Linked DNA regions of Coturnix japonica. The protein of the gene in region 1 interacts with the protein of each later gene in a pairwise test. Links are inferred from orthologs where the notes say so. Each region holds a gene or a part of one and is shown in the gene's direction. Other genes may lie near its edges.

Region 1 (4,245 bases):
TAGAGTCTGTATTATACCAAAATGGAAAACAATGTGACTGGGTATTAGCGTATGGCACACAGGACTACTATTTTTTTTTCCTTATCCTATCAGCTTTCTTTTCTCACAAAAAAATAAATAAAAACTCATACTTCATAAAGAACATTTGCGAAAGAAAAGCAGACAAGCATCAGAAGATATATTTTTTCCTACCAAATGAATGCAAAAGCCATTCAATGTGATAAAATTAAATATGCACAGAAAAAAAGTCTTACTGCTGATAAAACTAGAAAGACAAGTGGTATAAACAACATCCACTGAATGTCCAGGCTATGCCATTCAGCACACAAATCTAATACTTCTGTGTGAAAATCTGATTGACATAATAGACTATAACCGTTGCAAAGAACCCATTATGTCCCATCATGTAGATGGCTGCATATAATGATACAGCCATTGTAGTCTGTAAGGCTCTGGATCAGTGAATTAGAATTTCTTTATGTAGAACAGACTTTCAGCAAATAGGATCAAGACCCATTTTAGTAATTCCCAGTTATGCATTCACCCATCATCACAAGCTGAATTACTAAATTTCAGGAAAACTCAGATACATAAAGTACAGCAGCCACTTATAAAAAGCAGCATTATTGAGTATGTATCATAAAGCTATCACTGTCCTATAAAAGTTTCCAGTAAGAGAACATGCTTTTTCAGATGTCAGCTGCAGGCAACTTAGTGGGTGGCTCTTGTTTTAGTTAGACGTAATCATTACAGTAAACTACTAGTATGCACTTCTGAGAAGTTCATGTATTTTTTACAATAATTTCATTTTTATTTAAAATTATAATCTCTGCAAATAGACAAAAGCACTATTTAAATCTTCAAATAAATTAGCTAAACAAAAGAAGAAAAAGGCGCTTGATATGAAGTAACTAAAGAATTAGGCCTAATACTGCATTTATAGAAGAGTGGTCAGGATAAGGGAGGTGAAGAAACACACTTGGACTTAGAGGGGGAAAATGCAAGTCCACTGTGAATGAGCACTGAACTTGAGCTCCAAGGATGGTTCCTTCCCCAAGTCTCGGAGGACCAAATGCCATACACTGTTCAAGCGCATCAACACTGACAAAGACTTATTACAGTTACAGATAAAAGACATACTCAAAGACGCATATCAAGTGTAAGTTTCCTTTACGTGTCATAGCTATATTTGAAGCCAACAAAATGACTGTAAAGTGTGTAGTTCTAACAAGACTGTTGCCTTGGGATAGCTAATCCCACTGCACAAACTATTCATGCTATTAATGGAGAGTGAGGTAAATGCTGTCTATGATTTCAAGAACAATTAGAAATATCATGACATATAGATGTTGTAAATCAGCATACAGAGCGTGTATAAAATGTGTATAAACATGTATATAGTACCCTGCCTGCATCCTTATTTGAATACATCACTGTGACATCACATTCCATTTAGAACAACATGCACTGCCTACAGCACAGACCTTAACCCTAGAGTCAGACAGATCTCTTGCCTTGTAGGAACCCAACTGCAATAATTTGAAGAGAAGCTAAAAGGATAAATGAACTTTCTTTCAGCTGTATAATGGAGGGATAGATGAAAATGGATATATGCTCATGCTTCTCAAACTGCTGTAATCTGACTTGCCACAGCGTAAAGAAAGAATGCCGCTCATCTTGGCGCTTCCTCTTTACAAATGAGCAGTACTGCAGCTGTTTTCCGTGCCCATACGAAGAGGACAAATCTTACCAGTGCTGCCACTGCTCATGTTCAGAGCATGCAAATTGCTGGTGGTGCTGTTGCTCTTGCTCAAGTAACCCAGACTGCAAATGCTGCTGCTGTGGTGGTGAGAATTCAACGTGTCAATACTATGCAAGCAAATGCTGCAGAATCTATGTCTTTGAACCACGATGGTCAAGAGCACCAGGGACTGCTCAGTAAGTGGAATCAAGGGCTTTTAGTTTTTATAGGTTTAAATTTTTCTAATTTTCATTCCATCTTAATGGATGTCTTGCATTTAGAAGTATAAGATCCAGTGGCTCAGTGGAGTATTTCAAACCACAGGATATCATTCTTTCTTAAAAGCAAAAAAAAACTTTTTTTTTTTTCCCTACCATTCTCTAGAGTGACAAGAAAAGAAATAGCATGGCTGAACATCTGGGCAGAGAAGGTGCTAAACTGAAGCATGGCAGAAGGCCAGATTGTAGTCTCCTAGAATCAGGAGTACATCCTGAATAATGATGCTCTTTGCCAAGGATATAGAAAATGGCCAGGATCATTATAAAAGTAATACTCTTTTTTTCAAACAATAATGTCCACTGGCTAAGAGGAAAGCCAGGATAATCAAGATTTAAAGAGAACGCAGAGAATCAGTTATTTTCTAAAATACAAGAATTATTCTAATTTTAATAAAAATATCCAAATTTTGATTCTTTCATGTTAATTGCCAAAATTTTAATGATGTAAGACTGCTGCTAAGAATAATCTTCATTTGTTTTAAAAATCAGAAATAATGAGTGATTTTTTAAAATAATTAAAATTTAGGATCCTTCTATGTAAATGTGTGTTGTTATTTTAAATTGAAAAGTTTTTTCTTTTTCATTTTATTTATTTTTGTGTTCTGTTTATAAAAAGAAGCAAATGAGAAGGAGACAAAAACACATTCCAGACTGCAGTAAACCAAAATGAAATCTGTTTTTTGGACACCAGTATTAACTCAAGAAATTCAGAGAGACTTGACAAGAGTAAGATTTCTGCCTACTCACATTGTTGGAAACAGCATTCAAATACACTGAAATAGTTACGAAAATGAAAAGAATGAATTCTTAGTATTGTTAACTTAACTGTTTAAATAAAATATCCTGTCCAAATAAAGGGACGGTTGGCATGCAAGATGGATCTGCTTATTTTATCATTCTGTTTCTTAGATTGTGCACTGATATTCTGCCTTACATTTTCATTTGTTTGCTTCCCCCCCCCCATTTGATTTGCTTAAGGTCAGGAGATGTCACATCAAGATTAAGAACTAGATATAGCACATCTGCCAGTATACCAGAAAGGAAAGGCTCCAGCCAGGCTTTTCGTGACCAGCTTGCCTGTCCACTGTGTAAACAGTTATTTCTCCAGCCACTTATGCTGCCATGCAATCACTGCATTTGTGAGAAATGTATAATAAAAAGCAAGACCAAAGCTGAAGCAACAGAAAATTATTACATCATCATATGCCCGGTGTGTAGCAAAGCTCATTGTCTCCCTTGCACAAACAAAATTCAGCTGAGGAAGAATTACCTTAGAGCAAAACTAGCCAAGAAATACATGCGCAGACATGGCATTCTGAAATGGAGATTTGACCACAGTGTAGGACCAGTCCATTGTGAAGCTTGCAGGGAGAGAAGAAAAGTGGCAACTAAAAGATGTAAAACATGTGGAATGAACATGTGCAATGAATGTCTGCATTTATATCATGCTGAGAGTGGAGCTGAAGACCACATTTTTACCAGTGCATCTCAAGAAGATAACGAACAGTGGGCATGCTTACTGCACCACAACTCACACCTCTCTGAATACTGTCTGGATGACCACAAACTGATCTGTTGTTTCTGCAAGAATTTGCAACACAGTGACCATGAGACCATCCCTTTGGCAGCTGCGTGTTCAAGAGAAGCTGCTTCTCTCTCCAATACAATTGTAAAATTTAAAGAAGGTTTGTATTTCTGCTGCTTCTTACACTTCCCTATGCCATTGCAGGAAAGATACTTGCACATACACTTGATGAGCCACGTTAATTCTTTGAATATCACAAAAGGCAGAAAGATGAACCATTCCCACTGTGGAAATACAGAGGAAAGAAGCCTTTAATTGTGTGGAACCACATGACAAATTCAAATACTAGAGAACAAAGGATTTGTATGTGAGATAGTGCATCTTGGTGTAGGAAACTCCATTTCATACTGCGAGACCCAGTGTGAAACAACCACAAATTACACCTACATTTTTAAATCAGAAGTACATGCCTTTTTCCCTGCAGGCAAATTATGAATTGTCTCTCTTCAGTCAGTATTATGATTGTGTCCATGCTGAGTAAGAGGCAAGACAGCCTCAATGTTCTGAGGAGCTACAGCAATGTCACTTCCTTTATCTAAGAGTTCATCCATAGTGTCTGAGTGACAGTGCAGAGACTGGGATTTTATGAATTTCTTTTAAATACTTTGATTTTTGCATATAACACCACAAATGCTGGGGAC
Region 2 (3,550 bases), on another chromosome or scaffold:
CAGGTAGGCTGGGGACAGGGGCAGCTCAGCTCCAACCCACAGCCACTGGCCCTGTGACGAGGGGGACGGGGGGGTGCAGAGGAGGAGCTACAGGCTCCCAGAGAGGGAGAAGAGAATGGAAAAAGCCAAGCTTGGGGCTGGGCTGAGCAGTGCGAGGGGACGGGCACCAGAACAGCACGGCTGTGGCCACGGGCTGAGCTCACCTGGGTCAGAGGAGCGCAGGACGATGTCTGCCGTCCACAGCAGCCAGGCAGGCAGCCCGCCCTGCAGGAACGGGGAGAGCATCGTCAGTGAGCACGGGGCCAGCGGGGCCGCTCGGCAGCCCCGGTGCAAGGCAAGGACTCACCATCTCCCACTCAGCGCAGATGTAGGGCCCCGGGCGCAGGATCACCAGCAGCCCCAGCTCCGCCGCCAGGTCCAGGAAGGCTTCCACGTCCCGATCCCCGCTGAAGTCATACACTCCCGGCTGCGGCTCGTGGTAGTTCCAGGGCACGTAGCTGGGGGAGAAGGGGATGGCAACCCGAGGCGGTGCAGGCTGCGGGGTGCGGAGCTCCGCGCACAGCACCGGGCAGGAGAGGCGTGGGATGCCCCGCGTGGGTGACCCCCCAGGCTCACTTACACCTGCACGGCGTTCAGCCCGGCCATGTAGAGCCGCAGCAGGCGGTCTCGCCAGGCGGCCCGCGGGACACGGGCGTAGTGCACGCTGCCCGACACGTAGCGGAACGGGGCCCCGTCCTTGAGGAAGCAGTCCCGATCGAAATCGATCTGGAAGGAGCGCACCGGGGGGGCGGCCTGCGGGACGGCACAGAGCTGGGGGCGGCAGCACCTCTCCGAACACAGAGCGGGTCAACGGCGGGGGGGGGAAAGGGGAACGGGACCCCGACCCGCCGCCCTCCCGCACCCACCTCCGCACGCAGCAGCGCCGCCGCCAGCAGCAGCCCGAGGGCCGGCAGCGCCATGACCGCGGCTCAGCGGCCGGGGGGACGGTGCGGAACGGGCGAAGGAACCGGCACACGGCCCATAGCGCACAATGAGGGCGAGGATCCGAACGGGACCGCCCCCCGCACCGCGTTCCGCCCCTCGCGACAGGACGCGCCCACTAGAGCCAGGTCCCGCCCCGTCGGTCCCACGGGTGACGCGACGGTGACGCGCGGCGGCGGGCGATGACGCGCGTGGACGATGGGGCAGGCGCTGTGCGTCTGTTCCCGGGGCACCATCAGCGTGGGGGGGGCGCGGTACCTCCTGCTGCAGCGCCTGGCAGAGGGGTAACGGGGGGCTGGGGGGGCTGGGGTACGGGGGGAACACCGGGGGCACGAGGGATGTTGGGTATAAGGGGGTTTGGGGCACGGAATGGATGGATGGATAGGCAGGATTTGGGGAGAGATGCTCGTGGCTGGAGGGGATGTTCGGGCTCTGCTCCCCGCAGGGGCTTCAGCTACGTGGACCTGGTGGAGGGGCTGCGGGACGGGCGCTTCTACGCGCTGAAACGCATCCTGTGCCACGACAAGGAGGACCGGCAGGCGGCCCTGCGCGAGGTGGAGATGCACAACCTGTTCCAGCACCCCAACATCCTGCGCCTGGAGGCACACTGCATGGTGGAGAAGGGGGCCAAGCACGAAGCCTGGCTGCTCCTGCCCTATGTGAAGGTGAGGGGGTGGCCCCCAGCCCCATTGCCACGCAGGGTTGCGGTGAGTGCACGCTGCGTGTCTTTGCCAGGGGGGGACCCTATGGAGCGAGGTGGAAGCACTGAGGGAGAAAGGAAGCTTCATGCCGGAGCAGCGCATCCTTCTCATCCTCCATGGCATCTGCAGTGGGCTGCAGGCCATCCACAGCAAGGGCTACGCACACAGGTGGGGGCCATGGCTGGGGCTGGGGGCAGCAGGGTTCTAGTGGGCGCTTGGTGACGTCCCCCTCCCACTGCAGGGACCTGAAGCCCACCAACGTGCTGCTGGATGAGGACGACCAGCCTATTCTCATGGACCTGGGCTCCATGAACCGGGCCCGCATGGAAGTCACCAACTCTCGGGAGGCCTTGGCTGTGCAGGTGGGTGCCTGTCCTGGGGGGGTTTGAGGGGGGACATCGTCCCACTGCCCCCAGCCCTGCGTCCCCTCTGCCTCTCTGCAGGACTGGGCTGCCCAGCGCTGCACCATCTCCTACCGTGCCCCTGAGCTCTTCACGGTGCCCAGCCAGTGTGTCATTGATGAGCGCACGGATATTTGGGTGAGGACGCAGCCACTGCCCCCCCTCTTTCCCCCCATACTATGGGGTGAATGGCCACTCTAATGGCTGCTCTGCAGTCCCTAGGCTGCGTGCTGTACTGCATGATGTTCGGGGAGGGCCCCTACGATGCCATCTTCCAGAAGGGTGACAGTGTGGCCCTAGCGGTGCAGAACCCCATCACCATCCCCACAACTTCCAGGTGAGGCTCTGGAGCTGGGTGGGCCCTGTTCCCCATGGCGGGGCCATGCCGACCCCTCACTCCCCACAGGTACTCAGCCACCTTGCACCGCCTGCTCTCCTCCATGATGACAGTGAACCCCCAGGAACGGCCCAGCATTGAGGACATCCTACAGCAGCTGGAGGGGCTGCAGGCTACACCAGCCGGCCAGATCACCACGAGTATCTGAACGTGGCCCATCACTGGCCTAGGCTGTGCTGGGCTACCCTGGGCCTGCTTCCCCCTGGGGGGATTTCTGTGCCCTGGGGAGAGCTGCTCCATCCTGGAGGTGTTTTGGAGTCAGACTGTCGTTTGGGGGTGTGCAGTGCAGTGGTTTGTACCCTGAACGCTGCCGCTGGGGCCTGTGCGACCGCTGGGGTCTGCATGGCTGCTGGGGCCAAACGGGCCAGCACTAGGCTGCAGGACTGGCACACGTGCCCTGTTGCTGAGGGCAAGGCCTCGCTGCCCGCCCCGAGCCCACAGGGTGGCAGGTCTCTCCTGCCCCAAAGTATGTGCTGCTGGAACGAGGTGAGGGCAGGTGGGGCTCAGTGCCCGCTGCCTTGACACCCACGTTGCCTTGTGTTTTGAATAAAGGTGTTCTTGATGAGGTGTGCACAGTGTCCTCTGTCCTGCTGGAAATGGGGTGAGCGAGGCACGTGGCCAGGGCCAAGCAGCCAGGCACAGCCAGGCATTGCTGAAGGGGAATGGCAGGGGAGGAGAGCTCCACAGCTCCATGCAGCTGCAGCATTAGCGTTAAGCAGAGAAAGTTAATCTCTGGCTCCAGTGTGACAAATCCGTCTGTGGTTACAGCTGAGCCCTGCTGTGCAGTGCTGCTGTGCAGGCCCGCGGGGGCAGTGCAGTGCAGGAAAGGGGCTCATGCAGCATACGCTGCATAAGAAACAGGCAGAGCCCAGCACCTGGGTGCAAAGGGGCAGCAGCCCTGCTGCAGGGGGGCAAAGACAGTCTTGGGATGGCACCAGAAGCTGGAGGGGTGTAGCAGACACACAGCAGTTGTGCTGCCCGCAGCAGGGAAAGAAAGAGAAGCAGCCAAGTGGTTTCATAGGGAGTATTCCCCTCCTTTAATCCCCTCACCAAAACACAGTAGTGAAACA

Evidence for each region. The genes of interacting proteins can lie anywhere in the genome.
Region 2: the proteins of TRIM42 (region 1) and STK16 interact in binary tests that used the Homo sapiens proteins (3 or more experiments, as listed by UniProt). The two-hybrid records come from large-scale screens. The link is inferred for Coturnix japonica from reciprocal best matches to the Homo sapiens genes TRIM42 and STK16.

The regions. Positions count from the first base shown.
Region 1 is NC_029524.1:5,100,479-5,104,723, forward strand, and holds the start of TRIM42 (tripartite motif-containing protein 42), read left to right. Parts: upstream 1-1,445; 5' UTR 1,446-1,597; coding exon 1,598-1,938; intron 1,939-2,997; coding exon 2,998-3,704; intron 3,705-4,245.
Region 2 is NC_029522.1:24,514,590-24,518,139, forward strand, and holds STK16 (serine/threonine-protein kinase 16), read left to right. Parts: upstream 1-1,129; 5' UTR 1,130-1,179; coding exon 1,180-1,265; intron 1,266-1,426; coding exon 1,427-1,646; intron 1,647-1,716; coding exon 1,717-1,850; intron 1,851-1,923; coding exon 1,924-2,044; intron 2,045-2,125; coding exon 2,126-2,221; intron 2,222-2,298; coding exon 2,299-2,420; intron 2,421-2,489; coding exon 2,490-2,628; 3' UTR 2,629-3,050; downstream 3,051-3,550. Other genes in the region: GLB1L (beta-galactosidase-1-like protein), read right to left, coding at 1-8, 204-264, 347-497, 620-792, 906-959. UniProt on the Homo sapiens protein: Membrane-associated protein kinase that phosphorylates on serine and threonine residues. In vitro substrates include DRG1, ENO1 and EIF4EBP1. Also autophosphorylates. May be involved in secretory vesicle trafficking or intracellular signaling.